Rattus norvegicus: one gene and its partners. The protein of the gene in region 1 purifies or fractionates together with the protein of each later gene. This does not show direct contact. Links are inferred from orthologs where the notes say so. Each region holds a gene or a part of one and is shown in the gene's direction. Other genes may lie near its edges. The genes, in order: Smarcc1, Dpf2, Bcl7c, Ss18, Bcl7a and Sin3a.

Evidence for each region.
Region 2: the proteins of Smarcc1 (region 1) and Dpf2 purify together in Homo sapiens (affinity purification with mass spectrometry; 9 studies listed by BioGRID and IntAct, counting the BioPlex papers as one, with this or other methods). This does not show direct contact. The link is inferred for Rattus norvegicus from reciprocal best matches to the Homo sapiens genes SMARCC1 and DPF2.
Region 3: the proteins of Smarcc1 (region 1) and Bcl7c purify together in Homo sapiens (affinity purification with mass spectrometry; 4 studies listed by BioGRID and IntAct, counting the BioPlex papers as one, with this or other methods). This does not show direct contact. The link is inferred for Rattus norvegicus from reciprocal best matches to the Homo sapiens genes SMARCC1 and BCL7C.
Region 4: the proteins of Smarcc1 (region 1) and Ss18 purify together in Homo sapiens (affinity purification with mass spectrometry; 4 studies listed by BioGRID and IntAct, counting the BioPlex papers as one, with this or other methods). This does not show direct contact. The link is inferred for Rattus norvegicus from reciprocal best matches to the Homo sapiens genes SMARCC1 and SS18.
Region 5: the proteins of Smarcc1 (region 1) and Bcl7a purify together in Homo sapiens (affinity purification with mass spectrometry; 4 studies listed by BioGRID and IntAct, counting the BioPlex papers as one, with this or other methods). This does not show direct contact. The link is inferred for Rattus norvegicus from reciprocal best matches to the Homo sapiens genes SMARCC1 and BCL7A.
Region 6: the proteins of Smarcc1 (region 1) and Sin3a purify together in Homo sapiens (affinity purification with western blotting; 3 studies listed by BioGRID, with this or other methods). This does not show direct contact. The link is inferred for Rattus norvegicus from reciprocal best matches to the Homo sapiens genes SMARCC1 and SIN3A.

What each region holds. Positions count from the first base shown.
Region 1 is NC_086026.1:119,048,333-119,052,833, forward strand, and holds part of Smarcc1 (SWI/SNF complex subunit SMARCC1), read left to right. Parts: intron 1-1,566; coding exon 1,567-1,825; intron 1,826-3,096; coding exon 3,097-3,258; intron 3,259-4,501. UniProt on the Homo sapiens protein: Involved in transcriptional activation and repression of select genes by chromatin remodeling (alteration of DNA-nucleosome topology).
Region 2 is NC_086019.1:212,625,259-212,630,321, reverse strand, and holds the start of Dpf2 (zinc finger protein ubi-d4), read left to right. Parts: upstream 1-2,032; 5' UTR 2,033-2,083; coding exon 2,084-2,115; intron 2,116-2,423; exon of another isoform or gene 2,424-2,575; intron 2,576-5,063. UniProt on the Homo sapiens protein: Plays an active role in transcriptional regulation by binding modified histones H3 and H4. Is a negative regulator of myeloid differentiation of hematopoietic progenitor cells. Might also have a role in the development and maturation of lymphoid cells.
Region 3 is NC_086019.1:191,751,366-191,756,342, reverse strand, and holds the start of Bcl7c (B-cell CLL/lymphoma 7 protein family member C), read left to right. Parts: upstream 1-1,701; 5' UTR 1,702-1,961; coding exon 1,962-2,053; intron 2,054-2,530; coding exon 2,531-2,609; intron 2,610-2,958; coding exon 2,959-3,067; intron 3,068-3,159; coding exon of another isoform or gene 3,160-3,162; coding exon 3,163-3,324; intron 3,325-4,626; coding exon 4,627-4,712; intron 4,713-4,977. UniProt on the Homo sapiens protein: May play an anti-apoptotic role.
Region 4 is NC_086036.1:6,060,662-6,065,162, reverse strand, and holds part of Ss18 (protein SSXT), read left to right. Parts: intron 1-3,226; coding exon 3,227-3,394; intron 3,395-4,030; coding exon 4,031-4,135; intron 4,136-4,501. UniProt on the Homo sapiens protein: Appears to function synergistically with RBM14 as a transcriptional coactivator. Isoform 1 and isoform 2 function in nuclear receptor coactivation. Isoform 1 and isoform 2 function in general transcriptional coactivation.
Region 5 is NC_086030.1:38,901,543-38,906,757, reverse strand, and holds the start of Bcl7a (B-cell CLL/lymphoma 7 protein family member A), read left to right. Parts: upstream 1-1,987; 5' UTR 1,988-2,125; coding exon 2,126-2,217; intron 2,218-5,215.
Region 6 is NC_086026.1:66,379,804-66,384,896, forward strand, and holds the start of Sin3a (paired amphipathic helix protein Sin3a), read left to right. Parts: upstream 1-1,979; 5' UTR 1,980-2,116; intron 2,117-2,204; exon of another isoform or gene 2,205-2,463; intron 2,464-4,226; exon of another isoform or gene 4,227-4,332; intron 4,333-5,093. UniProt on the Homo sapiens protein: Acts as a transcriptional repressor. Corepressor for REST. Interacts with MXI1 to repress MYC responsive genes and antagonize MYC oncogenic activities. Also interacts with MXD1-MAX heterodimers to repress transcription by tethering SIN3A to DNA.

The sequences.
Region 1 (4,501 bases):
TGTACACCCTCTAACCTAGCATTTGAAGATTGCAAGTCCTTTGCCTTCCATGATTAAGTAGGGCAGCTTAAAAGCCAGATAAATGTGAGATCACTGAAGGTAGGAGAGAGAACCTTTTTCAGATTTGTGAATCTGTAAGGCAAAGCTTTTACCTAGATCACACACACTCCTGCTTCTGTTCCAGACCCTCCCCACTCCACTCCCATTTCCCAAAAAAGGGTATCAGGAAATCATGCCACCAGAGAGAAGTAACAGTAGCAAGCCCTAAAAGGTTGACAAGTTATTTCATTTGTTATATTTTCTTACTATTTATTTTATGTATTTAATCATATAGATTCAGGTTTTCGTTTTTGTTTTGAAGGTTTTTACGACTTTTTACCAAAACTCTAATAAATTTTATGACTCATTCTATTCTGTCCTGTCAATCTTTTACTGCTAGCCTCAATTTTTATTAAAAATCCATTGTCTTGTAGACCTTAGTGTGTTTGTATGGGTAGATGATGATGTGTATGTGGAAGGCAGGGCAACATTGGAGTCTGTTCTCTTCTAACATCTTGTGGGTTACTAAACAGTGACTTCGTCTCTCAGCCTTCTCACTTGCCCCTTTTTATTGTTTGTGTCTCTTTCTTTCCTCCCTTTCTTTCTGTCTGTCTTTCTGCCCATCTTTTCATTCTCTCACGTTGATTTTCTTTGTATCATGTTGGTCTTACACATAATTTACTCAAATTTTTATTTCATTTTAATAATGTTACAAATATTTTTCCACTTTAAAATTGTTCATTGCGGGCTGGAGAGATGGCTCAGTGGTTAAGAACACTGACTGCTCTTCCAGAGGTCCTGAGTTCAATTCCCAGCAACCACATGGTGGCTCACAACCATCTGTAATGAGATCTGATGTCCTCCTCTTGTGTGTCTGACACCTACAGTGAACTCAAAAATAAAATAAATCTTTTTTAAAAAAGTTATTCATTGCTATGAGAGGAATATAAGCATTGTTCTTGCTTTCTCTTACGCTTTTAGCCCATCTGATATTGTCGTGGTAATCTTCAGCCACCATCTCAGAGTAGATTCTTTGAAAGTTTTCATGTAAAGAGTAGTGATCCAGTTTAAACGAATATTGTAATGTTCAGGTATTTCATTATTGTTTTGTTGCCTGATTGACAACTTATTATAAGGGTCACTGCCAGATTACCTTTTACCTTAATGTAGAAATAATTATTTATATTACTAGTTTGAAATAGGATCTTGTCCACTCTGTTATCTTCAAATCTTGTCTCAGTTTACAGACAGTTGGGGTTGAAGGGCATGCGCCACCATAACTACTAGATCACTACCCAAATTTTTTTAGAATTCTGTCTGCAGAATCTTAGCAAGGTTGGGTTTGCATGCCTAGCACTCTTGAGCCTGTGAACCAGGGTTAGTAGAAGTTGAAGACCAGCCTGTATCACATAGTGAGATCCTGTCACACAGAAGGGGGAAAAAGGGCACTGGCTTCATTTTTCTTCCCTTCTATTTTCCTTCCTTGTTATTTGATGCTATCACCCTTTTGTTTCTGTGTTCACTTAGGCTCTGGAGATGTACAAGGATGATTGGAATAAAGTCTCGGAACATGTTGGAAGCCGTACTCAGGATGAATGCATCCTCCACTTTTTGAGGCTTCCCATTGAGGACCCATACCTTGAAAATTCAGATGCTTCTCTTGGGCCACTAGCTTACCAGCCTGTCCCTTTCAGCCAGTCAGGAAACCCCGTGATGAGTACTGTTGCCTTTTTAGCATCCGTGGTTGACCCTCGAGTAGCATCAGCTGCAGCCAAAGCAGCTTTGGGTATGTACTTCCTGTGAAAGCTACCTCTCCAGCACTAAAGTCTGACTTTATATTCAAATATGATTAGCCATGAACTTAACATTTGCCTCAGTTATATAAAGTGTATGCTGTGCAAGCATGAGGGCCTGAGTCAGATCTCCAAAGCCTGTGTAAAAGCTAGAAGCTCTAGTATATGCTTATAGCATCTATACTGGGAGACAGAATAGATGGTCTCACAAGTCATCCTGACAGGGATAGTAACTCAGAGATAAGGTGGAGGGAGAACTGATAGAATCTTTGTTGATGTCAACTGGATTAAACCAGCAGACTTAAACCCAGGCACAAGCTCACCCCCACACATACATACAAATGCTTTTAAGAATATCAGCTGTGTTAATACACATTTCTCTCTTATAAGTCACACAACAAAAACTAAAGATAATGTGCTTCATCAAAATGTAGAAAATAATTTGTAAGGACTTTGTTTTTCTTTCACTTTTAAAAATCTATTTTGTGTGTGTGAGAGAGGGAGGGGAGGGGGAGAGGGATGGAGGGAGGGAGAGAGGGAAAGAGAGAGAGGGAAGATCACTTACCATGATATATCTCTGAAGGTCAGGATTAGCAGTGCAAGGGTGAGCTTTGTCCTACTACGTGTGCCTCATGAATTGAATTGTCAGCCTGGCCACAAATGTCCATTCTGGCTGAGCCATGTTGCTGGCCCATAGAATATTTGTGGATTTAGAAGAACAGCTAGATAATTTGGCATAACCTGTGAAATTGCAGCTTTTTAGAGGAAGAGACAAAAGAATCAGGAGTTTAAAGTTCAGCGTGGACTATTGTGGATCTTGTCTCAACCAACATACATGTACATACACACTCGTGTATAAAGGAAAGTAAGTGTTTTATGACATTAGGATATTGGTAGAGATATAGCATGGAAGCTACTTAATTTATTTTCAATAACTTAATTTCACCCAGGCATCTTTTATATTGTAGGATTTACATTTTTAAGGTTGTTTGATCCTTGCTGTTTTTATAGTTACCAGTCTTGCCAGCAGAGTGGTGAAATCAGGACTGAAATTTTACTTGTTTCTAATAGATTTTTAAACAACTTTTCAAAGTATAATAAAGAAGGCACTATTATGTTTTGGATAATAACCTAGGGAAGTGATTGGATTGATTCATTTTATATTTTCCCTAGTGTGCTCACTGTATAAACTGATGTTACTTTGTCACACTAGGATCAAATATCTATGCAAAATTAAGATATTGTCTTTGTGATCTTGACTCAGAGGAGTTTTCTCGTGTCCGAGAAGAAGTACCCCTGGAATTGGTGGAAGCGCATGTCAAGAAAGTACAGGAAGCTGCAAGAGCCTCTGGGAAGGTGGATCCTACCTACGGCCTGGAGAGCAGCTGCATTGCAGGCACCGGGCCCGATGAGCCGGAGAAGCTTGGTGCGTCACTAATGAGTACAGCATTCGCTTTAGAGATGCTTATATTCCTGTCAGTGTGCAAAATCACGGGCTTTGCTTACACACAAGCAATCAAAACAATATAATGTGCCTCTACATTTTATTATATATATTTTTCTCACATTCTTGTGAGGTGGACAAGGGGGACGTGGTACAGAGAAAGCAAGAGCTAAAAACAGTGCCTGATAACCAAACAGTATCAGTTCCTCAGTATGTATGGGTGTGAGTGTGAGTGTGTGTGCCATAGGTGTAGTATGTATGGGTGTATGTGTGTGAGTGTGTGTGCCATAGGTGTAGTATGTATGGGTGTGTGTGTGTGAGAGAGAGAGAGTATGTGTGTGTGAGTGTGTGCGTGCCATAGGTATAGTATGAATGGGTGTGTGAGTGTGTGTGTGCCATAGGTATAGTATGTATGGGTGTGTGAGTGTGTGTGTGTGTGTGTGTGTGTGTGTGCCATAGGTATAGTATGTATGGGTGTGTGTGTGAGTGTGTGTGTGCCAAAGGTGTAGTATGTATGGGTGTGTGTGTGAGTGTGTGTGTGCCAAAGGTGTAGTATGTATGGGTGTGTGTGTGTGAGAGAGTGTGTGTGTGTGTGTGTGTGTGTGTGCGTGCCATAGGTGTAGTATGTATGGGTGTGTGAGTGTGTGTGAGTGTGTGTGTGCCATAGGTATAGTATGTATGGGTGTGTGAGTGTGTGTGTGTGTGCCATAGGTGTAGTATGTATGGGTGTGTGCGTGTGTGAGAGAGTATGTGTGTGTGAGTGTGTGTGTGCCATAGGTGTAGTATGTATGGGTGTGTGTGTGTGAGAGAGTATGTGTGTGTGTGCGTGCCATAGGTGTAGTATGTATGGGTGTGAGTATGTGTGTGTGTGCCATAGGTGTAGTATGTATGGGTGTGAGTGTGTGTGTGTGTGTGTGTGTGTGCCATAGGTGTAGTATGTATGGGTGTGTGTGCCATAGGTATAGTATTTATGGGTGTGTGTGTGAGTGTGTGTGTGTGTGTGTGTGTGTGTGCGCCATAGGTGTAGTATGTATGGGTGTGTGTGTTTGTGAGTGTGTGTGTGTGCCATAGGTGTAGTATGTATGGGTGTGTGAGTGTGTGTGTGTGTGTGCCATAGGTGTAATATTTATGGGTGTGAGTGTGTGTGTGTGTGCGCCATAGTTGTAATATTTATGGGTGTGTGAGTGTGTGTGTGTGTGTGTATGCCTTAGGTGTAGTATTTATG
Region 2 (5,063 bases), on another chromosome or scaffold:
GGGTTCAATTCCCGGAACCCAAAGGACAGCTCACAACCGTATGATGCCCTCTTCTGGTCTTCCTACCACCCCACACCCCAGCATCAAGCACATAAGTGATTCACAGACAATTCCTGCAAACAAAACATTCATACGCATAAAATCAAATTTAACAAAAAAACCCCGCACTTGAGAGAGATGTCTCAATGGTTAAGAGTATTTGCTGTTCTCCAGAGGACACATACAGAATACATTCACACACACATACACAAACTAAATCTTTAAAAAAACAAACAGCAGATGCCCATGCCTTTAGTGCTAGTACTTGAGAGGCAGAAGCAGGTGGATCTTTGTGAGTTTGAAGCTAACCTGGTCTACATAGTGAGTTCAGGTACAGCCAGGGCTATGTAGACAGACCCTCTTTCTTTTTTCTTTCTTTCTTTCTTTTTTTTTTTTCTTTTTTTCGGAGCTGGGGACTGAACCCAGGGCCTTGCGTTTGCTAGGCAAGTGCTCTACCACTGAGCTAAATCCCCAACCCCGACCCTCTTTCAAAAAACAAAAACAAATACAAATTTTAAAAGCCAGTGTACTGGGGTTGGGGATTTGGCTCAGTGGTAGAGCGCTTGCCTAGCAAGCGCAAGGCCCTGGGTTCGGTCCCCAGCTCCGAAAAAAAAAAAGAAAAAAAAAAAGCCAGTGTACTGTAGGAACACTTGACATTGTTAGCTGTCCATTAAACACTTGTGTGTACTTTGGGACTTCCTTTTGATTGTGGTATAGTTGAAGGTATGGTGCCTAGACAAGCTAAGGAGGGAAGGTCCTTCTATTTCTAGCTACCTCAGTGTAAGGAGGTGCCTGAGGTCAATGAGTTCAAAGCTTCAGGTTACCACTCTGACACAGGAGTTCCATGTATGGCTGGTGTCTGTCCCAGAACCCAAGGCAATAATGTCCTCTACCTGTGGCTCCTCTAGCTTCAGCTCAGGTCTCGGGTGAGACTGCATGAGTAAGAATGTAAGAAAGGTGCCTCTCTTTTACCCTACCCCACCCCGCCAGGAGAGAAGCTACACCAGCACTGAGGCTGCAGGAAAGTGAGAGAATACAGACTCTGCCAGGGCCTGCCGTTAATACTGCATACAGCTGGTAGCCATGTGTAAGCTTTGGGGATCTGTGTGGTTTCAATATGGTTGGCCCAGGGAGTGGCCTTGTTGGGGGAGGTGTGTCACTGTGGGGGTAGGCTTGGAGAGACCTTCCTCCTAGCTACCTAGAAGCCAGTCTTCTCCTGTTTGTCTTCTGAAGAAGATGTCGAACTCTCAGCTCCTCCAGAGCCATGCCTACCTGAATGCCATGATGATAATGGATTGAACCTCTAAAACTATAAGCCAGCCCCAATTAAATACTGTGCTTTATACGAGTTGCCTTGGTCATAGTATCTCTCCACAGGCGTGGAAACCCTAAGATAGGGTTCCATTGAGCCAGGGTGTCAAGAAGTAGGTCAAAAGAACTGTGGGATCCTGGAGTTGGAGTTACAGACAGTTCTGAGCCTCTATGTAGTGTAAGCTTAGGTTTTTCAAAGCCTACTTTATTTAGGGTTCTTAAATGCTTCAACCTCCCTTTTAGCCCACCGACGAGAGGTAGGGAAAAAGGCAGATTAATAGGCAAAGGGGGTTGCGGACAGAGGTACCTAAAGGACTGGGTACCTCCCTGACCTTTCCAATCCTTCCCTGTGAGTCAATCATGTGTCTAACGGTCAGCTAGGCAGGACACTGTTGCTCCTTCTAGCTCATCTGCCTGGCCTATTCACTTACCTTTCTCACTTTCCAACCAAGCCTTCCTGAGGCTCTACTAAATGGAGGGGAGACAGATCTCCAGAATGAGCTGCAGAGGGCGCATAGTTTTCCAATCGCGCCTGCGCATCGGGATCCCCTAGGCTCCAGGTCGGGTCGTTTTTTTTTTTTTTTTTTAGCGCTCGCCCTCGTGAGCCTGTGCGTGCGCGCACCCTCGGGCTGCGCCTGCGCAGAGGATCGAGGACCGTGTGTCCTGAGAAGGCTTAGCGCCTGCGCGTTGCGGGCTTCGGGGCCTCCCGGCCTGAGGGAGAGGAACTGGGAAGATGGCGGCTGTGGTGGAGAATGTAGTGAAGCTGTGAGTGGTCTTCTTTTTTCTTTTTCTTTTTAAAAATCTCTCCTGTACAGGAAATCTTGTAATGGGGCCTGGGAGTAGAGAGGGAAGTGCGGGAAGAGAAAAGACAGAGAGAAGGACATGCCCGGGAAGTCCTTGCTGTGCGACTGCTGGTAGGGAGGGCAACAGGAGACTCTGGAGAAGGCGCTGGGCTTCTTTTGGAAACTTGTGGAGACCGGGAGGGGGGCACACTAGAGTCCCCGACGAGCGTCCTTCTCGCGGGCCGAGCCCCGAGCGGAGCTGCGGACTGCGAACGAGAGGCTCACGGTCCCTGGCCCCTCAGTCCCGTCGCGCTGAGGCCGGCGGCCCTGGGAGATCGGGGTCCCCTCTCCGCCCACCGCCCTCCCTGGGACTACAGGCTCCGCCGTACCTGCTGGGATCCTAAGATTTAAGCAGCCCGGTGACATTAACCGGGAAATCCGGGGTACACGAAACTAAAACTGTTCTTGGGAAGAATTGTTCCAAGAGCAGATACAGAAGGGAAAGAACTTCTGGGAGTGGGCAACTAGACCGGAACCAGACGGCCTTCTGGTCCGCAGGAGCCCCGAAGTGGGCGTTCTCTGTACCCTAGATGCCATTGTGCGGGTCAGATTTCGAGCAGAGCTGAAGTTAACGGTTGTTGGGAAACACTGGGAACGGGGACTGGCCTGTTAGCCGCTTCCCCCGAGTTAGAGGTGTTTGGGGTTTTGATGAGTCTCCTCCTTCCTTCTTGAAGAAGAATCGAGAGTTTTGGAACGGGGTTAAAAATGCCCGTTGGGCTTAAGAATGGCCTTTTCTTCCTTTAATGGCCATGTTGGGCGTGATGTAAGAATAGAAAAATGGAAGTGTTCAGGTGTCCAGTCAAAGCTTTTGGATTCTGGATGGCAAAGTAATGGTTTAGGAACTATTCTGGAGGACTTTTCGCAGCTTCATCTGTCTTTGTCGTGGGCTGAGCCCCCATAGTCCCAAGAGGCTTTTTTTTTTAAGGTTAAGTTGCTTCTCCCCCGCTGCTTGGAGCCCTTTTCTTCGAGAATGCTTTCCCACCTCCATTAAGCTAAGTGCCTTCTCTTGTGGCTTTTTTTTTTTTTTTTTTTTTTTTTTTACTTGCTTTTGGCTTCATCCTGCTGCCTCTTTCAACCACCCCTCCTCCCAACACTATTATCCTTATGATCTGCCCCCTCCGGCTTCCCCAGCCCTCTTTAGGCTGACATTTCCCTTAATTTAGAAATGAAGCTGTTAATTTAACATTTTTATGGTTCTCCTTCTAGACTCAGCTGTTAGGTCTTTGTTACTCTGCCTTTCTTTGTTGACCTCCCCTATTCCTGGTGGAAGGGGAGTTGTCCTGTGCCCCCACTCCTACCCCACAGGTTTCCTGTGAAAAGAGGAGCCACAGCTTTTACCCTGGAAATCTTACTTTCTAGAAGAACGTGTTGCCTAGGTTTTCAGAATTACATGTTAATGGAGCTCTTCATATTGAAAGATGGTCTTGCGGAGAATGGAGTTGCCAACCCATTGGTGTAGTATTTTAAGTGTTGGTTCCCATTTAAATAGAGCAGTGCTGTTCCTGCCTCTTTAACCAGTCAATGGTTCCTAGTGTCAGCGAGGTACTGAGTTGATTCTTCCCATTTCTAGGTGCAGAAGACTAGACATCACTAACACGTACCTCACAGAACTTTCCCTTTATAGAGAAGACTTTGATTCTCACACCATTCTCACTTTGGAAAGATGCCTTTCTGATACTTTCTTTTTTATTATAGTGTGCTTAAGTCTTCTGGCAGCTGACATCACTCATTGAGGGAAAGACCACTAGTTCATCTTTTTCTTTGATTTTTGCCTTGTGAGAAGACTTTGTCTTAATTTTCTGCTTTTCTCAAATACATTATCATGGTTGACATAGTCTTTAGAGTATAGAGTAAATACTAGTCTAAAAAATAACCATGACTACCAACTAGTTTTTAAAACTTTATATGAGTTATATAAGGCTATCTGTAGAATAACAGAAGCTTGAAATTTTTTGCTACAGAGTCTTGAATTCATGTATTCTCCCCTTTGCTGCTCTCTTCACACACACACGCACACGCACATGGGCACACATACATGTACATAATTTCTTCTGGCCATTTCTCCTACTAGAGCACTTGCTTCACCTTCTAGAATCTTACCTGACCTGCAGGAGCCGATTGGACATTCCAGTCATTCCTCCAGGCCTTCTTCAGCCTCTGTGCTTTGACTTTGCAGTCTTCAGCCCCACTGGGCTGGTCCTTCCTTCCGTTTGACTTCCAGTGTCAGCATCAATTCCATCAGCAGAAACAAAGGAGCTGCTGCAGTCAGCCTTGTTTATCGGTTTTTCCTGTGTGGTAAGGACAAGGCTGCCTCCTAAAGGCGAGCAAATGTGAGCCTGCTCTCTTCTGTGCTGTGCGCTCCAACACATTCATACCTTAATTATAGTTATTACTGCTCACTGAATCAACTCAGGCTGTACTTGTAGTGTTGCTGTGTGTGTGTTTTTATTAAGCTATGCAGTGGTCTCCTGTGACTGCTCAGTGAAAGTCCCTATCAGATCCTACGTTAGTGCTTGTCCATACAGCTTTAGTTGTAGGTATTGGCCACTGAGACTGAGACCTTCTCCCTCTTGCTTTTCATGCCTCCTTATCCCTACTATCTCCATCAGAATCCTGGCAGGCCAGAGATCATCTAATCTAACTGCCCCAATCTATAGGAGAGGAATGGAGGTTCATACAGATTAACCACATGACTGTGTCCATGTGGTGCCTGTACCAAAATCAGTCTTTTTACTCCCAAATCCATCCTGATGTGATCTAGATGACACCTTCATGGGTCCTGGGGATACTATGGGAAAGAAGTCTCTTCTGCCCTCAATGTTTTTTTTTTTTTTTTTTTTTTTTTTTTGTGGGGTGGGGGTTGGAATGTGG
Region 3 (4,977 bases), on another chromosome or scaffold:
CTTATAGTGATCCACCTGCCTCTGCCTCCTCGGTGTTGAGATTAAGGTGTGAGCCACCAACCTGGTCTTTTTTTTTTTTTTTAAAGAAAACTCGACATTTATTTTGGCTATGTATGGTATGTCAGGTGTGTGGAGGTCAGAGAGCTGTCAGGAGTAGGTTCCCTCTTCTATGATGTGGGGTCATCTATTGAGTTTAGGTCATCAGGCTTTGTGGCAAGTCCCTTGTTCACCGAGATATCTTGACAGCATTCATTTTCTTTAAGTAAACCTTTAGCTGAACTATAATACACACAAGAAAAATTACAAGTAATAAATGTCCATCTTGACAGACTAAAGACAAGTGTGACAAGCTCCCGGAAAACACCATGAATGTACTTGTGTTCTGAACTTAGATGTAGAATTATCTAATGCATGTTGTCACATCTGGCTTCTTTTGTTGCAGACCCATCCCCACCATTGCACATAGCAGGACTTTGGTTTTTCTGGTTGTTTTGTCTGTGCTCATGGTATAAACAGGTTGTAACTGGTTTTCCATTCCATTCTGTTGAGTGGCTCCCAGGTTGGTGCTATTATGAAGAGTACCGAACTTCCCAGTATACATATCTTGGTGTTCATACAGACACATTTCGTCCTAGTGAGGTTTCTATTGCTGTGATAAACACCGCATCTATTTCAGCTTGCAGTTATAGTCTGTTATGAAGTCAGGGCAGGAACTTAAAGCAGGAACTGAAGGAGGCCAGAACTGAAGCAAAACCTTGGACGAACTTTGCTTACTCACTTGCTCCCCAAGGCTTGTTCAGTCTGCTTTCTTAAAGTGCCCGGAGGTGGCACTGCCTACAGTGGTCTGGCTCTCCCACAACAACTATTATCAAGAAAATGCCCGGGGTTGGGGATTTAGCTCAGTGGTAGAGCGCTTGCCTAGCGAGCGCAAGGCCCTGGGTTCAGTCCCCAGCTCCGAAAAAAAGAAAAAAAAGAAAAAAAAAAAAAAAAAAAAGAAAATGCCCCATAGACTTACCTGCAGGGCAACATGATGGAGGCGTTTTCTCCATCAAGGTTCCCTCATTCCAGATAACCCTAGCTTGTGACGAGTTGACAAAAAAGAGGCAGCACATATTCCTTCTGTTGAGTGTTGCTAGTTTGGGAGTGGAAACTGTTGGAAGACGGGGTTGGCATAAGTTTTTCAATGGAAGACTGCCAGTTTTCCAAACTATCTCTACCAATTACACACCCTGATTCAAGGAATGGCAAGTTGCTCCTCTGCTACTTCATCTACATGGTCTTTTTCACTCCCGCCATTCTGATTGAGGAGGCCGGCTCTCCACTCGCAGAGTCTGGCTTGTACTAGGCGCTGTTAATGGAACTGTTCAATGAATGAATGAATGAATGAATGAATGTATGAATGAATGAATGAATGAATGAATGAATGAATGAATGAATGAACAAGTTAAGTTGGGCAGCTTAGAATCAAACAGCCTGGAGAGGGCAGACGCGCGCACACAGAGCATTTCAGGGACGCCCACCCGCCGCGGACGCACACCAGGACAGTCCCTCTCGCGCACCCCTGTGCCCACGTGGCCGGAACGCACCGCCTCGTTCGGGCCGCGCGCGTCCAGCCGCACCGCTGCCCCCCAGCTCTCCCTCTCCGCGGCGGGCAGAGGGCGCTGTGCGTCCGTGCGCCCCGAGGGGCGGGCCCGGGCCGGGGCGGAGCTGGCCGGGCTTCCAGGCCGGGGCTCTAGCCGCCCGCGCCGCCCGGGCCGCTCCGGGGACGGGCCGGGGCGGGGCGCGGTCTCAGGAAGCCAGGCGGGGACGCGCGGAGGCGTTGGGGAGCGAGGGAGGGCGCGGCCAACTCCCGGAGGGACGGCAGGCCGAAAGAGCGGCGCCGGGGCCTGGCGCGCAGCCTGAGATCGCCGGACCGCAGGCCGCCCCACCACGGGCTCTGTCCCGGCCCTAGCCCCGCCAGCATGGCCGGCCGGACCGTGCGGGCCGAGACCCGGAGCCGGGCCAAAGATGACATCAAAAAGGTGATGGCGACCATCGAGAAGGTCCGGAGATGGTGAGCGCTGCCCCCGGGTCAGGGATACAGCCAAGCCACCTCCTCCAAACGCGTCCGCCCTTTCCTGGCCCGCTGCCCCCGCCCACCAGCTGTGATCTAAATCGACAGGGCGCCCCCTTTCCTTGGCAATTCCCAGAGGTCTACAAAGCGTGGTCCGGAGTGGTGCTTTCCCTGAGCGGGAGCCCTCATCTATGCCCCGCCCCCTGAAGCTTTTGACACTCTCGCAAGCTTGGCCCGGGGTCTTCATTGCCTGAGTGCCTGGGCAGGCCTTGGTGGCGCCCTGCTGAGTGCCCCAGGTGTCTGCAAAACCGCAGCTCCAAGTTATATCCGTTTATGCTTTGCCCTGGGGTTTAGAGGGCTCTTTCTGCTTCTATGCCGTGTAAACGAAGCTGTCCGTACCCTAGCACACCTCCCTGACCTCCAGTCTGTGGGGCTCACCCTTGGGCCTCCCTGACCCAGTCTCCTGACCTCCCACAGGGAGAAGCGCTGGGTGACTGTGGGTGACACTTCCCTTCGAATCTTCAAGTGGGTGCCTGTGGTGGATCCCCAGGAGGAGGTGAGCAAGCCCAACCCCCAACATGCCTTGCATCTGTGCAACCTCAAGCAATTTCCCTCCCCTTGGCCTCCACCTTCAGTCGGCTTGGAGACTCCACTGTGGAGCCCAGGCAGATGGTAACGATTATTAGGGGGCATGAGCACGGAAGCGCGCGCGCGCGCGCGCGCGCACACACAAACACACACACACACACACACACACTTTCTCCAAGTTCAAGACCTAACTCGGCCTACACAACCTGAGGCAGCACCTTTTGCTTCTCTGAGCCTAGGTTTCCTTATTTGAATTGAAGGACTTTGTAAGAGCTCCCTGGACAAACTAGCTCTGATCTTACTTCTCTAACCCTCAGGAGAGGCGGCGGGCAGGAGGAGGGGCAGAGAGATCTCGTGGCCGGGAGAGGCGTGGTAGGGGCACCAGTCCCAGAGGGGGTGGCCCCCTCATCCTGCTGGATCTCAATGGTATGTAGAGATTCTGGAATAGGGGTGGGGGGGCTGGGTGCTGAAAGAAGCCACTGGGGTCCTCTGGCCAACTAACTTGACTTTTGCTTCAGCAGATGAGAACAGCAATCAGAGTTTCCATTCCGAAGGTTCACTGCAAAAGGGCACGGAGCCCAGCCCTGGGGGGACGCCCCAGCCCAGTCGCCCTGGATCACCAACTGGACCTCCAGAGGTGATTACAGAAGATACTCAGCCCCCACAACTGGGCCAAGAGAGAGGTAGGACCATGTGGCTCTTGGGAGTCCTCTCCTCACCAGAGTTGAACCTACCGCCTTGTATGTGTTTCTATATTGTGTTGTGTCCCCCCCCCCCTCCCCCGTCCTGCCTCCCTCAGGGAACCTTTCCTGACCCTGGCAGAAATTACCTCTGGCTGTGCCTGGCTCATTCCTTGGCATCTTGGATTTGTAGGGAGCGTGTCGCCATCTGAAAACTTTATGTAAATGTACTTTTTGCTTGCTTATTGCCTCTCTGTTACCATCTCATGTCAGACACACTGATCTGGTTCATGTGGGACGCATAATAGATGTTCGGCAACTAAATAATTCTGATAACCCTAGGGATTAGTAACCGTAGATTAACAGCTGACAGAACCACTTATCTGTTAGTCATTCTTCTGAGCACTTCAATGTTTTGTGGTTTGTTTTCTCATTTAACCCTCACTGACATTTTATGGAACCAATGATCCTATGATGATTCCTATTTATACACGAGGAGCCCAACATCCAGAGAAAGATGCCCAGACTTGCAGAGCCAGTGCGCCAGCTCCTCGGCCTTCCTGTAGTCCACCCCCCCTTCCCAGGCATGGCTGACTCCCGTGCCTTTGGCGCTCCCTTCTCACTTCTCACTTGCACTGGCTCTCGCCTCCACATGCTACAGCTTTCTTAGAGCAGATTCCAATCGGCCATTTTCCTGCTTTGTGTCCTTCGTTGGCTCCCGTGGCCTTTGATTCCTTCGTTTGAACCAGAGGCCTTTATAAACTGTTGCTACTGAAATTGTTCCCCTGTCAAGAACACCATGACATGGGGCTTGGGACCACACCTAGGTTGTCCCAAATACTTTCGCTAATATGAAATGATGGGGCAGGGCATGCAGCCCAGTGCAGGTGCTTGTCTGTCATGCCTAAGGTCCTAAGCCCCATCTCTAGTACCACAGAAATGAATGAATGAATGAAACTGCTAGCTGGCACTTCTTGAGCACATACTATGTGCCGTGTACTTGATCCACACAGCAGCCTCTCATGGTGTTACTGTCACTATTTCCATTCTGCGGATGACTGAGAGTCTGTGGTCACTAAGCACATATTTCTATCTGCCTAAATTCTACTCTACCTCCGTTTGCCTCCTGGCTCATTCCCTACTGACAAGATCCAACTTGAGTCTTCCTTCCTCAGCAACTTGGTACCCCTCTGCCCCCACAATGTCATCATGTGTGACCAGTGCCTGTCTGTTTCCTTTGCCCCTGGTCCACTCTCTCAGCACAGAGTAGCTGCTCAGGAAGTGTCTCTTTGTTTGGTGTTACAGATCCAGGGGGCACACCTGCAGGAGGTACTGATGAACCCCCAAAGCTGACCAAGGAGGAGCCTGTTCCAGAATTGCTAGAAGCCGAGGTGAGAGAGGCCAGAGTCCGGACTCTGGCCTTGTGGGGACTGGAGGCTTTGGGGAAGCAGGGAGACTTCATTCTAGGCTCCAGGAGGGAGACGTGGACCTAGAGCCCACAGAAGGCTTAGCTGGAGGTTGGATTCTTGGGTGAAGGAGAGGATTGCAGACACCACCCTGAGGGCTGATCATGGCTGATAGAAGAGCACTAGAAGCCTGAAATGATCTTGGTGCTCCCCTAAGGACTTAAAAAAAAAAAAAAAAAAAAAAAAAAAA
Region 4 (4,501 bases), on another chromosome or scaffold:
GTATAGCAATTTTGGACTATTTTCTGTGTTTAATGTAGAATTGTTATTGTAGACTGTGTAGTAAGTTATAAAATTCAAAGTGGATTAGTGTGGAAATGGTGAAAAATATATGAAAAATTCTTAGATTAATGAGGTATTCTATATCTTGTGTATGCATTATCTACTTTGTCGTATATCTAATATCGACATTTATAGAAACAAGGGACATCTGTGAAGTGACAGATGCTTGCTGCCGTTATTTGCATTCACCTTGCCAGTCTACGTTATTCTGGGGTATTCTGCCATCCGTAGAATTGGCGGCCTTTCACTGAACTGCTCTGTTCCCGTTAGTGTGTTAAGGAAAACCATATGCATCCTAGATAATCAGAGTTGACGTTTAAACTTCGTGGATAAGCCTTCAAGGGCGTGTGCAGAGTGCCGGGTGTGTGCTGCCTTCCTCTCCTGTTTTCTCTGGATTTACGTTGATCCTGAGTGCTGTGAGGCCTTGGGGGCAGTGACAGAATTCAGGAAGGTAGTGACTGAGCTGCAGGCAGATAGAGATAGGGCTCAGATGGCACGGTTGTGTGGGCTGTGCCCTGTGCTGGAATTTCCTCTCTCCTGGAAGGACTTTGAAGTGAGATAGAATTTTGTTGTGATAGATATTTGAGAGCCCCTCCCCTAGCGATGCCTTTCATTTTGGCTCCAATATTCAGATACAGCCTAACTTCTAAGTCAGGAGTCCTTTGGGCAGTTTTTGAAAATAAAAATAAGGCAAACCTTTCATTTCTTGAAAATGAAATTTAAAAGGCCCAGTCAGGTTGACAATAAATTATGAGTAACAGCATTAAAATGTTTTTATCACATAGAGTTCATGACTAGAGTGATAAACTCAGTGGTTAAGATCACCCGTTCTTCTGGAGGACCCGAGTTCGGCTCCCAGTACCCACATGGCAATTCATGACTGTCTGTAACTAGGGGATCCTGTGGGCTCCTCCGACTCTACATGTGCACGGCTCACACCCATACTGCAGCCACTACACCCAATGCTTCTGAGATGTGCAGGTGAAAAGGACAGGCACAGAGGTGCACTTTGAACTCGGCTTGACATTTGTAATCTTGCCAGGTACTGTTAGCAAGCTTGCTCTGTGGATTCCCTGGTTGCCAGGGTGCCCTGGGAAGTGCAGGTGACAGCTTGCATTGCAGGTACCTACAGTGCGCCCAGGGTCTGCCTCCTTGCCAGTCTTACTGAGCCGTCTTCCTCCTGCTGTGAAGAATTCATTTCCATGCTGAAGGGCTCCAGGGCTTTGGAGAGCTTCTACATACAGTGATAAAAACTGGAGAGACCCGAGAAGAGTTAGACAAAAGCAGAACACACAGAGGTGCTCAGGGAGACAGCAGCTCTGAAGAAGCTTTTCTTCCCACGGAACAGATGGTCACGTTGCTGAGGAGGTAAAGCTCTGTGCTCACATTGTCCCTGGAAACTTAAGGAAGTGGCTGCTTGGTTTTTAGATGTTTGTTTAAATTAATAGTGAGCCTCTGACTCACTGTGTCATCGTGGCCTGCACAGCTTTCCCTTTTGTACTTTAACTCACCCCCAAGTTTGGCGCTATGTAAGCAGGACTGCAAGACGACACACAGACACTCGAGTCAGCGGGCTGAGAGTGTGGGACTCTGCTCTTTAAGGACCCGGCAGCCCTCGGGGAGCATCTGACACTGCTAGGCGGCCACACAGAATTCGAGGGCCACTGCGGGTCACGTGACAGATCTTCACTGTATGTGCTGCAGCAGTGGTGCTGAACTCTCACCCTGTAGAGTGTACTGAGCCCATGCCTTACTACAGACCTTTTCCTAACTCTCACCCTGTAGAGTGTACCTGTCTCTGAGCCCATGCTTTACTACAGACCTTTTCCTGGTAGTTTTTAGGGTGGGGAGACTGGGAGTAGGAAGTTAGAGGGTGGGCAAGGTGAGAGGATTTTAGTTATTTATTAAGGAGCACCGTGATCCTGGAGGCTGGAAAGATGGTTGAGCTGTTCTTGGAAAGGACCTTGGTTCACTTCTCAGCACCCACATGACAGCTGTCATGTCTGTAACTCCAGCTCTAGGGGATCCAGTGCCCTCTCCTGCCTCTGGGCATACGTACAAATCGTTCACAGATACATACATGCAGGCAAAACACCTGTACACATATGATTAAAACTAAAAAAAAAAAACAAAAAAAAAACAAAAAAATTTCTTTTTTAAGAAAAAGCACTGTAGGGCTGGAGAGATGGCTCAGGGGTTAAGAGCACTGACTCTTCTTCCAGAGGTCCTGAGTTCAAATCCCAGCAACCACATGGTGGCTCACAACCATCTGTAATGAGATCTGATGCCCTCTTCTGATGTGTCTGAAGACAACAACACTGTACTCATACATAAAGTAAATCCTTAAAAAAAGAATGTAAAATAAAAAGATATTTCAAAGAAAAAGAAAAAGCACTATATATTTCTAGTTTGTAAAGCTTATAAAAGGTTTGGGAAATGGAAAGTTTTTTTAATTTTGCATAAAATTGAAGTTTATAAAATTTAACTGATATGTTTATGAAGTGCTTCTGTAGGTTTCTGCTTACCACTATTGCATAAATGTGTACTAAAAGGAATGAGAGTGTAGGGCCGGAGAGATGGTTCAGTGGGTAGAAGTGTTGCTGCTCTTCCAGAGGACATGAGGTCAGTCCCAAGCCTTCACACCACCTGTGACTTCTGCATTCCAGATGCCCTCCCTCCCTGGTCTAGCCTGGGCTCCTGCATGTATGCAGCGTGCATAAGTCATGCAAACTCACACACATACAGAGAATAAGTCTTTATCATCCTCTCTACATACAGAAGGAAACAAACCCAGAAGTGGGTTTCTTCTGTCGGTCTTATTTTCATCGCTTTCCTCATGCTGTGGTAAGATGCTTTTGCCTTGAGAGCCGGTGAGATGATGCGGATAGAAGATGTATATGCCAGAAAGAGCTTGTTTCCATGTTGATTTTTTAAAAATGACTGGAGTGCTCTGGTGGACCTGAGGGTTCCACTGGGGTTTGGTTGTTTTCCTTATTTGCAGATAAATGTGGGCCTGTGAGCTTTGTGCAGACTCATTTATACTTGCAGTCAGTGTCCCTTGTTCGAGTACACACTTTGTGTATTCTGTGGTAAGAGTCTTGTACCTGTCATCGCATGTTGAGCAGCAGTGCCAGAACACCGCGTGATGATGTTTTTCTGTCTTCAGGTCCCATGATGCACCAGCAGCCTCCTTCTCAGCAGTACAGCATGCCACCTGGAGGTGCGCAGCATTACCAAGGACAGCAGGCGCCCATGGGGCTGATGGGTCAAGTTAACCAAGGCAGTCACATGATGGGCCAGAGACAGATGCCTCCCTATAGACCTCCACAACAGGGTGAGAAGCCATCTGGAAAATTCCTTGCTTACTGTAAATGACAGTCATTGAAAGGCTTTAAGTTTTAATGTACTGTTCATCCTGGCTTTTGTTGCACTCCCCTGCCACCCACCAAGGTAGCAGGGTTTAGGGAACCCTGAGGAAGTCCTGAGGCATAGAGGAGCTTCCCAGCACATGGCTTCCTTTTGTCTGGTGTTCTCTAGGGAAATACCACATCAGAAACTTTTCTATCAAATTTACTCATTTACATCAGAAAATGCCCTCTCTCCCTTTTTTAGAAGTTACTAAGTATATGACAAAGAACAAAGCCAATTTTATATCAAAATGCCTTAATACTAATGTAACAAGTAAAAAGAAATCAGTTTCCACCTGCTTCAGCCTCTGCTTCAGAGGTTGCTTTTCTGAGTTGGTATTGTTTGGTATTATGTGTATGGTCTTACTGATTTGATAACCGTGACGTGTGGACCTGCGTGTGCGTGTGTGTGTGTGTGTGTGTGTGTGTGCATGGGAATAGTGCCCAAGCACTGTGGGAGTCTCCTGCTCAGAAGTAGTCTCTCGCAACAGCAGATTAGAAAGATCGCCTTGGATGACGCAGAGAACAAATGATTTATGTCTTGACTGGTTGTGGTTTTTCAGGCCCACCACAGCAGTACTCAGGCCAGGAAGACTATTATGGGGACCAATACAGTCATGGTGGACAAGGTCCTCCAGAAGGCATGAACCAGCAATATTACCCTGATGGTAATCTCTCTAATGTTACCCTTCCCGTTTTCTATCCCTGCCCAGTATTAATGTAGAAAGCATTTCACAACTTTTTAATGAGGGGCGAAGAAACTACCAACTTGTTTCTTCATGTAGAAGCATTTGGTATTGTATAGCTCTGACAAGAAGGACACTGGTTTGTAATTAACTCAAGGTATATTTGTGTGGTCACTGTTGGTGCTATCTGGAGCTACATTTCCATCACTCCAGTGTCTCTCGTGGGAAAGAGGGTCTTTTTATGTTTAGGATTGTTCATCTGAGCCTAAAGCAAATGCTCTACAGGTTTCTTCTTCCTCTTTTTCCTCCTCCTCCTCCTCCTCTTCCTCCTCCTCCTCTTTTTCCTCT
Region 5 (5,215 bases), on another chromosome or scaffold:
AGGAGAACAACTTTCATGAGTTCTTTTTTCCACAGTGTGGGGTCTGAGAGTTGAACTCTGGTCTTCAGGCTTGGCAGCAAACACATGTACTAAACCATCTTGCAGACCACATATGTGAATTTTCAATATATCTTATTTTAAAATTTTTTATATATATATACATATATATACATATATACACACACACACACACACACACACATATATATATATATATATATATATATATATATATATATAACATATATTCTGTGTCGAAACTGTGGTATAGCACTTGCCTAGCAGGCACAATTTCTGCACTAAACAAAAATTCATTCCCTGGGGTACAAGCACATATCTGATGGTCAGATACAGAGGGCCAAAAGTATGAGACTTCTGATTTACAGCACAGTTTTCAACCATGATAAAAATGGTTCTTTGACATATTTGTGGTGTGTGTGTGTATGTTGTTGTTATTTATTTGTTTTGTTTTGGTAGAGTTTGTCTTTGTAGCCCTGGCTGTCCTGGGACTCACTGCTATGTAGACCAGGCTGACCTTGAACACATCGACATCTGCTTGCTTCTGCCTCCCAAGTATTGGTATTAAAGGCGTGCACCACCACTGCCTGGCTCGACTGTTTTTTTTTTGTTTTTCGATTTTGGATTTGAGACAGCGTCTCACTATGTAGTCCTGGTTAGTTAGTCCTAGAACTACGTCCATAAACCAGGCTGGCCTTGAACTCACAGAGATCTGCCTGCTTCTGCCTCAGGAGTGCTGGAGTTAAAGGACTGGGCTACCAGGCCTGACCGTTCATATTTTAATTTTTTTCTTTTTTCTTTTTTTCGGAGCTGGGGACTGAACCCAGGGCCTTGCGCTTGCTAGGCAAGCGCTCTACCACTGAGCTAAATCCCCAACCTCCATATTTTAATTTTTTCCGCATTAGGATCCTGTGTTTAAAGTGGTTAAAAGATAAGCCTGGGGAAGATCCCACAGATTCTCACCCCCATCTCCCCACTAGTTCCCTCTACCAAACCCCTGCAGCACCCCAAACTTCAGGGGGGGTGCTGGGTACTAGAATCACAGCAGTCGCAGATGAAGTTCACGGCTGCAACCTTGAATCACCCCTTGACTCAGTTTCCCCATTTATGAAAGGGCTGATGTTGGCATCAATGCTCATTTTAGGTCATCTCTTGTCCCAGCATCCACCTGGACGAGCATTCGCTCTGGTCCAGTCTGTCTAGCCGCAACTGCACACCCACCTGTCCCTATCCTGGTTGACCGCGGTACATTCTGCCACGCAGCTCGGTCCTAGGGTAGGAAGACAGTTCCTCAAAAGAAAGTCCTTCTGTGTTGGACCAGTCCGGTTTACTTGCTGCTCCGGGCCAATACACTGCACTTCTACTAGGAGCCGTTTCAGATTAAATTGTCATTTTCAGAAAACCCCAAGGAGGTTGATCCGTGACTGGGACAACTTATCTCTACGGGAAAGAAAGTCCTGCGACAATGTCAATTGCCACCGGGCTCCAGCACCTTTCCTAGGACTGTAGTTTAAGCATGGGGAAGCGACTTTCTAGCTCGCACATTTTAACAAGGCAGCTGGCCAGAGACCGGCGCCTCAACTCTTTCTAAGATCACCTCGCGTCCCAAACCGCAGCCTCCAACTCCGAGAACTCAAGCGCCCGACAAGAAACTTGCACGATCGCGCCCGCGGCCACCAACCCGAGCCAGAGCACCCACGGCCTGCAGTCTGCCATCCCCAGGGTGTGTGTCTTGGACGGAGAGGCCCCCAATCGCACCTGCGGCCTCTGGGTGAGTCCGGTCGCGGGGCCGTCCCGCGTGCTGGGAGGTCGGGGTCACCCAAGATAGCTTCCCAGGGCGAGGTCCCCGAGGCTCCCCGGGGTGGGCGGCGGCGCCCGGAGGCCGCACTGCTGGCGGCCGCGCCGCTCCCCCTCGCTCTGTGCAGCTGCCGCCCGGCGCTTGCGCACTGGGCCCCGGGCGCGCGGCGGCACCAGGCTTTGTGTGTGCGCGTATGTGTGTGAGTGTGTGTCTGTGCGCGAGTGAGAGAGCGGGCGAGTGTGGCGAGCAGGACCCGGCGGGCGCGCTCCCCCAGCCTCTCTCTCCTCTCTCTCCCTCCCCGCTAGAACCATGTCGGGCAGGTCGGTTCGAGCCGAGACCAGGAGCCGGGCCAAAGATGATATCAAGAGGGTCATGGCGGCTATCGAGAAAGTGCGCAAATGGTAAGCCGAGGCGCCTGCTCGCTCTCTAGCTCTCCCCGGCTCGCTGCACCGCATCGCGGCCGCCAGCAAGCCGGGACCCAGCGCGCAGAGCGGCGGGGCGCAGCGGCCCCGGGCCCGGAGTTGGCGAGGGCGCGCGGCCGGGGTCACCTGCGCCCCGCGGGGGCTGCGTCCGCTGCCCAGGTGTGCTTGGCGCCGGTCGCCCACCTGGCGCGGCGGCGGAGGCAGTGGCGGTGGCGGTGGCGGCTGCAGCCCGGAGCCCGGAGCTCCGAGCTCGGCTCTCGGGAGAGGGGGGTTCGCAGCCGGCCCCAGAAGCCATTTCGTTTTTTTGTGCAAGTCACATGAAAGCGGCTTCCCGCGCGCCGGGGCCGTGATGCCGGCGGCGGCGGGCAGAGCGCGAGCTCCATTGTGCAGCGCGGAGCGGGCCGCCGTCTCCTCCCGGGGCGGCGCGGCGCCGGTGTCCCCCCAACACACACACACATACGCACACACACTCTCACCCTACGCCCCGACCCGCCCGCAGCTCCCCGCCTCCCAGGCCTCGGCGCCCTCGAGTCTGCGGAGTTTGCAGAGCGCGAGCCGTTTAAATTTAGCGCTTTGGGCAGCCTGGAGCGAGGGCTCCGGGCGAGGAAGGAAGATGGGGGCGAGCGCTAGGAAGGCGGTGGCGCGGCCCGGGCGCGGAGCACCCACGGCTCCCACGCGCTCCGCGCGGCACCCGGAGCTTGGGGAACGCGATGTTTGCAGCCAGAAGCCAAGTCCTGGGCCGTGTCTTGCCTTCTTCTAGCTGGAGCTGGTGTTTGTTTTGCGGAGAGAGCGAGCGACCGTTGTTTTTGTTCTCTGCACTGGGGGAGGAGGAGGGGACCGGGAGATTCGGTGTGGGCCGTGCGTGTTTTTCGAGCTCAAATTAGATCGTGCCCGGCGTGGCCTCGTTATAATTAGTAGGATGGAACATTTTCACGGCCCTCGTCGGGATCTGACTCCGAGGCGGCCCCAGAGACCAGGCCTGAGGCTCCAGTAGTCCACCACCAGGTTGGGTCAGACTTGTTGAAAACTCCCTGCTCCCTGATTTTAACTTTATTACGTTTTTTTTTTTTTCCCACGGCTTCATCTGGGTCCGAGCGGGAGAGGAGCAGCTGCGAGGGTGTCCCCAAGTGTCAGCGGCTGCTGGCTGGACCTGTCCTTTATAGGAACTGGCCAGGCCCCACTGCAGGCTGTTATTTTGGGGGGGTTTCATTTCTTGAGTCACGCCTCTGTTGTTGTTGTCTTTTTTTTTTTAAACACTTCTGGGGGTGCCTGTCTCCGGCTTGATGGTGTCACAAGTTAGCTGTCCTTTCAGAGTGAAACCCAACAAAAAAGGCAAGGAAAAAAATCAATAAAGTCCACGTGCTCCCGGGCCTCCTATGGAAAGGGCTGTCTGCGGATGGCCGGATGCCCGCCGTGGGCTGGGTTTGGCTCCAATGGGACAAAGAATTTTCACAACCGTGAGAAGGGGAGGCTTTCCAAAGTTGAGATCCAAGTCCTGGGTGCCGGGAGCTCCCCTGCTGAGCAGGGCGACTAGTGCCCAACTGGAGCCATTTAAAAATGGCAGAAACAGCTGCAGGCCAAAACACAGGAAAACAGCACAGTAACGGACCCTCTCCTGTGGGACTCTCAAGGGAAGGCTGGGGTGGTAGAGAACTGATATCAGAGCAAGCGTCCCTTCTGTCTGTCACCGGCCTGGACGGTAGAAAGCGGCAGGCTGGCCGGTGTAAGCTGCCTTTCTGGTCCTGGAGCTGTGACAGCTGCCGCTGGGTCTGCCAGCTGCTCTGCAGGGCGGGCAGATGGAGGGATGGGGCTTTCCACCCTGCGGGCCCCAGAGCAGCAGGCCTGGAGACTTCTTCCATCCCAGCGGGTTCACAGCCTGCGGAGCCTGGGAGTGCAGCGGGGGATGTGGCCGCCTTCTTCCCCGTAGTGCATCATGACCTCTAAAGACTTCAGGCTTTTTGGGATCTCCTGCTCGAGTTTCTACTTCTCTTCCTAGCTGTGACCTTGGGCAAAGCATGAAACTCAAGTTCCTTGCTGCTGTCAACTAGGGGACTCGGTGCCCCTTCCCCTTCCAGAACTGCCTAGGACTGGCTAGTCAGGTGGAGTCACTGGAGTACACAGGGGCCCTTGTAAACGCCCTTATGTAAGGTGGACTTTTGTAGAAATTTGGATCTGCTTCCCGTCCCCATCTTACACAGAAATGCAGGGGGCTTCCTTGAGTCACGGGATCTGGTCTTGGCCTGTCTGTACAACAGTGTTGCAATCAACCCTGAAGGCTTTGGGGTTGTTTATTAACTGTGGGCACCAACCATGCATTTCACCACTGGCTAAGGCATGGGGCTGCCATAATTAGCAAAGGAAAATACAGAACACCCAGGTAAATTTGAATTTCAGAAAAATAACAAAGTGATTTAAAAAAAAAAAAGTCCCCCCTCCCCCGTATAGTGATGTATGCCTATAACCTTAGCACTTGTAGAGGCAGGAGAATCAGGAGTTCAAGGATAGCCTCAGCTACATACTGAGTTCTGGGCTAGCCTGGTCTACATTCAAGCTTGTCTCAAAAAAAAAGGCAAAAATGAAAATGTCTACTGAGAATATTGCTTTAATGGTAGAATTTGAGCTTAATATGTACAAAGCTCTGGCTGTACACACACACACACACACACACACACACACACATACACACATATACAACCCTTTATGTAAGTATAGCCCATGAAATATTTGAGACACATACCAAACAGTTATCCATTTATCTGAAAAACTCAAAATCAGTGAGGAATTCTGTATTTTATTTTACTTATTTATTTCTTTTTTTCGGAGCTGGGGACCGAACCCAGGGCCTTGCGCTTGCTAGGCAAGTGCTCTACCACTGAGCTAAATCCCCAACCCCCTGTATTTTATTTAGAGGAGAGGCGAGGTGTCTGGCATATCATTCAGTCTGAAAGCCTAGGATGGTATTTTTTTTTTAATACTC
Region 6 (5,093 bases), about 53 Mb from region 1:
TTCAGCCTGGGACGATTTAGCTGTTTTTTTTTTTGTTTGTTTTGTTTTTTCTTATTTTTAAAGCCCTGTCCTGGAACAGGGCTTGGCTTGTTACCGGTGTGGCTGACCGGTGTGGCTGCTCCCACCTGTCGGCCACTCTTGGAGTTCACAACTCTTTACTATGGCCTCACGGCGTGAAGCCATCCTAGGACTGAGACCCACCTGTTGCCAACACTTGTTTATGGCTGTCTCCGTAGGATTACAGGAGAGCAGCACTGGATTTACGAAACGGTTCCCGGTGTTGTATCTCTTGGGGACATTCGACTCTAGGGAGGATTTTTTTCCCTTTGCTCTAGAGCGCGGGAAGACTAACCCCGCCTAACCTCACACGGCGCAGCAAAAGGCTCCCCAAAGCAAGGTCGGCATCGGTCCTACGCCTTATTAGTGAATAAATGAAAGGAATTAGGTATCTCAAAGCACTTTATATGTTTAGGCATTGTTACCTACCAAGAAGGCTTAGAGACCGCCATTAACTCATTCTGCCAAGGAGGCCATGGATACCCCTCACATTTTTTTTTTGAAGGGGCTGGCCTAGGAGACACTATTCCTGCCCTATCGAGGATAGTTGCGATTACAGGCTCTTCCCTTTGAACAGTCGTTTTTAAGACCATATCCTTCACACAATCTGGAATTTTTACTCGTTATCTGAATGTGAATGCACACTCAAGGTTTATTTATACAGTGGTCTGTGTGAGCTTTTCTGCATCCCTTCCTCCAGTTTAAAATGTCCCTGGATCTACCCGGCCGACCTGGAATACATTTTTTTTTCTCTCATGCTCCGCCTTCCGGAGGCTTGCCCAGGCGGTGACATTTAAAGGCCTCCGCTGGGTTATCTCCGCCCCCTGAGGGCTGCGGATTCTGGTTGTCCCAGTGTCACAGTATGCAGCCGGCTCTGGCGACTGGCTAGTAATATCTGGGTTTTTTGTATCAGATTAGAGCTCCAGACATTAATTTTGGAGTCGGCTTGCTGAAAGTAGCTGCTGAGTGCTCCAGATGGCTGTGTTTAGAAGACCGTGAAAGTGTAAAAATAAGTGGGTAGGAAGGACGAGGCTTTCTGTCATTGTTTTGGTTAATCCTCCAATGGTGGTAATACTACTGCCTTTTCCTTTTCAAATCTCAAAGCCTCCGGTTTCGACCGCTGCGCTGCGCGCCATCTCCGGTCCCGGCCTTGGAACGCTGAGCTTCAGTCTCCAGTGTAAACATTCCACAAAAGGACTGCTAAGGTTCAGCATCCTCGCGCAGGGCGGAATGGTCTCCTTCCTGGACCGGCGCCGTGTCCAATGGCGGCTCCTACCGGCGCCAAGATAGTCCAATCAGATCTTTGGGGGCGGAGCCTGGCCCAGCAGTGTAGTGGGTGGAGTCGGCCTCACTTAAGGACATTTTTACCCCACATTGGTTACTTACCTTCCTAGGGCTATGAGAGAAGCAAAGGTAGTCTTCCAATGCGGGAACCGGCGGAGGCGGGAGCCGATTTGTTAGGCCTGTGGCTGGGGCGGTATGGGGAGGGATATGTGAGACTCTCCAATGAGATGTGACGAGGTACCCTTCTTCCTCCAATAGTATTGGAGCCTGGAGGAGGGATTCGGCAATCAGTCTCCAATAGGCGGGGTTGAGTTAGGGACTCTCCCCGCCAATAGGGGCGTGGAGAAGGTGAGCGGCTTGCTCTCCCCTCCCAGCGAGGGAAGAGGGCGGGAATAGGCCTTTGCGGCACGGTGATTGGCTAAACCATTGACGGATGGGTAATATATCCCGTGGCGGAGCGAGGTTAAGCCTTCCCTCGGCGGGGCGGGCCGGGAGAGTGGGCGGGATTTCCCGGGTAACAGAGAAGCGGCCGCGGCGGTAGAGGCGGCAGAGACGGTTTCTCCATCTTCCCCCCTCCCCTTCCCCCCTTAGAGTTTCCCTCCCTCCCTCCCTCCTTCCCAGTCTGGACACCCAGGCCTGTGACCGCTTCGTAGGCGCAAAGGAGGTTGCCAGTCCGCTCTTGCGGGCCTGTGCCCGCGCCGTTCCGGGGCCTCCGTGCTGGGTGCGAGGCTCACGCCGGGAGCGACGCGCAGGCTGAGTGGCTGGAGCTTTTGCGGTGAGAGCACGCCGCGTCGCGGTCTGCCCAGCAGCTGGGTGGCGGGTAACCCGGGACTGGAGGGCGTGTGTTTTTCGGGGGGGCTGACCTCGGCTTCCCGTGCGTGGCTGTGGGGGGCGGAGCGGAGCCGCACTCAGTGCGGGAGGGGGAGGAGAGCGTAGTCCCGGTGCGCACGGAGGGGCGGGCCCTAGTCCCGCCGATCAGAGGCGGGGCCGGCGCGCGTGCGGTGGTGGAGAAAGGGGCGGGGCGGGCTGGGACTAAAGGCCCGCGGCCGTGGCCCCGCCCCTTCTCCCCTTGTGGGCGGGGACACGGGTTGTACTGCTTTGGGTCCGCGGGGTGTGCGGGACGAGAAGAGGGTCCCGGCGTGTGGCTTTTAGGGCGCGGCGGCGAGGGGGCGTGAAGCCTGTGTTCCCCCGCCTTAGCGGGATCCGGTTGGCCGGAAGGCGCGTCCGGGGCTGTGATGCCACGCCCCTCCCGCCCCGCCCCCGCCGGGATTTCCGCCTCCTTAGCTGTGAAGCATAGCTGGGGAAAGCCCGCTGTAGCGTCTGGCAGGGGTCAGGGTTCCGTGTCTGCCCCGCCCTGCGTCCCTGTAGGTGGGAAGGCCGCTTGTAGACTGGGAGCGGTGGAGGTGTCCCGACTTTCTGCTGTGGCTTCTCCATCCATTCTGCTTGGGGCATCGTGGCCCGGAGCTGTAGTCTCTACTTTGCTTCACGCATCGTGAATGGCGCCTTAAAAGCTATGGAGAGTAGAAGCGTGGTCAGCTGCTCCTCTTAGTTGTAATTATTGGGACGAGAAACTCAGCGTCCTCTCTGGAGTGTCTGCGGTGGGGTGCGGCTGGTGCTGGGCCCATGCTTCCCCGCCAGTGGCCGGTGGGGGAGGGGCAGCGTACTCAGAGACTGAGATTCTGGAGGGCGCCAACCTTTCCTAGAGTTCCCTTGGTGTTCAGCTACTGTGCCTTAACAGAGCTAAGCTGTGCACCCATGGGTAGATAGCTAAAATTTGCTACCATTTTTGGTACCTCAGGACTTTAAACTCAGTTTGCCGTTCCAGCTCCTTATAAAGCTGAGACTGTATTTCTAGAGAAAGGATTGAATTTACTTCTTAATCTTAAAACTGGTCTTTGGCAGAGATGATATTTGAAGATGATTGTGTGTGTCGGAGTTTATTTAAGGCACATAAGTATTGCTTCACCACTAGGTTATACCCCAGGGCTGATTTTTTTTCCTCTAGTCAGAATTTTTCTTTTTAATTTAAGTAAAATACTTTGATTTCTTGATTTTTTTTTAACCTACAGAAGGTTTTGTTATATAAGCTTAGCTGCACAAAGGTAACTTAAAATTTTGTGTTCTCTTTTAGTTTTATGTAATTGTTAGTCCTTAAAGATCTTTTTAGATGCTAAGTAGGTTGAACCTTATGAAACCTATGTGTAGCATGACCTCCCAACCTGTGTTACTTTGGCCATTGTGGATTTATTGCACAGGTAACCTTATTAGGTGGGTTGGTGTTAGCTGATCTTATTTAGAGAACTTTTTATGAAAAGTAAACACTGAATCCTTAATTTATGTATTGATGTCTGAATGAGTATGTATAAACCACTTTTAAAAAAGATTTATATTAAAGTGTGCGTGCGTGTGTAAGGCCAGAATAGGATGTTAGATCCCCTGTAGGTGGAGTTAACAGGTGGTTATGAGCCACCCGACATGGGTTCTGGGAACCCAACTTAGGTCCTTTTGCACGAGCAGTCTGCAGTCTGTATTGAGCCGTCTCTAACCCCATCGTTTATATGTAATTTCTGAAGCTAAATTCTGGATTTGTCCTTTGTTCAGTAGAGGCTGAAAACCATGCCCTGTGCCGTACATAATGAAGAGGTTAAATATTCACTTTTCAGCTAAAAAAGTGACAACAGCAGTAGTAACAGAATTGAGGTGGAGGCCAAAAGATAAGAACTTGGGTGTCTTACAGATGTAGCACATTGAAAACGGTAGTAGAGAATGCTTAGCCTTTGAGGAAAGTTTGCCTAACCTCAGTTAATTCTACCATTTGAAGCACAGTCTGGGAAATACAGATGACCTAATTCATATCTTTTTTGTTTTTCTTGTTTTGTTTTTAGAAACAAGAGTTTAACTGTAGCCCTGGGTGTCCTGGAGCTCACCCTCTAGACCAGGCTGGACTCAAATTCAAGAGATCTGTCTGCCCCCCAAACGCTGGGATTAAAGGCATGTGCCGCCACTGCTGGGCATAATTCGTACTCTTATAGAATGTGTATTCTAGATTGTGTGCTGGAGTCACAAGTCCTAGGCTTTAAAAATTCAAGAACCTAGTTATATTTGTTTGCTTTTGTTTTTGTTTTTTCTATTTTTACATTTCCATCCATCAGTACTATATGTTTATTTTTACTTACTAGTATCTAAGAGAACCTGAGTTCAGTTTTTAGCACCCATGTCAACATGTATCTGGAGCTCCAAGTACTGACACCTCTGGCCCCTAGGCACCCAGACACAGGTGCATACCCATATATCTATACACGTGTGAAAAAAACAGAAATATAGCTTTGAAAAATGTTAATACTTTTAAATTCAGGCCTTAATAGTTCGCATAAAGAAGTTTTTTTTTCTTCTTTTTTTTAAGACTTGAGATCGGTATTAATTAGATTCCTGGCAAAGCACAGCCATCTTGACAGTGCAGCCAATATCCTGAAAGGCTATCCAGGGTAGCTGTAGGGGGAAATTTACTCAGAATTCAGAGGTTGTGTTCATGACCTTCAGTAATCTAGTGGTTTTTTTCCCCAACTAAAAGTGTATGGACTTATATCTTTTGATTCTTCTTTTAAAAAGATAGTACTTGCTTTTTTAAACAATAGCATCCCTCTTGTAATAAGGGTTTATATTTATTGAACTCCGATTCTGATCATTTGCTAATGTGTTTAATTGTATGTGCACGCATGGCTGCTTTGAGTTGTGGACTGGTGAAATGGGCC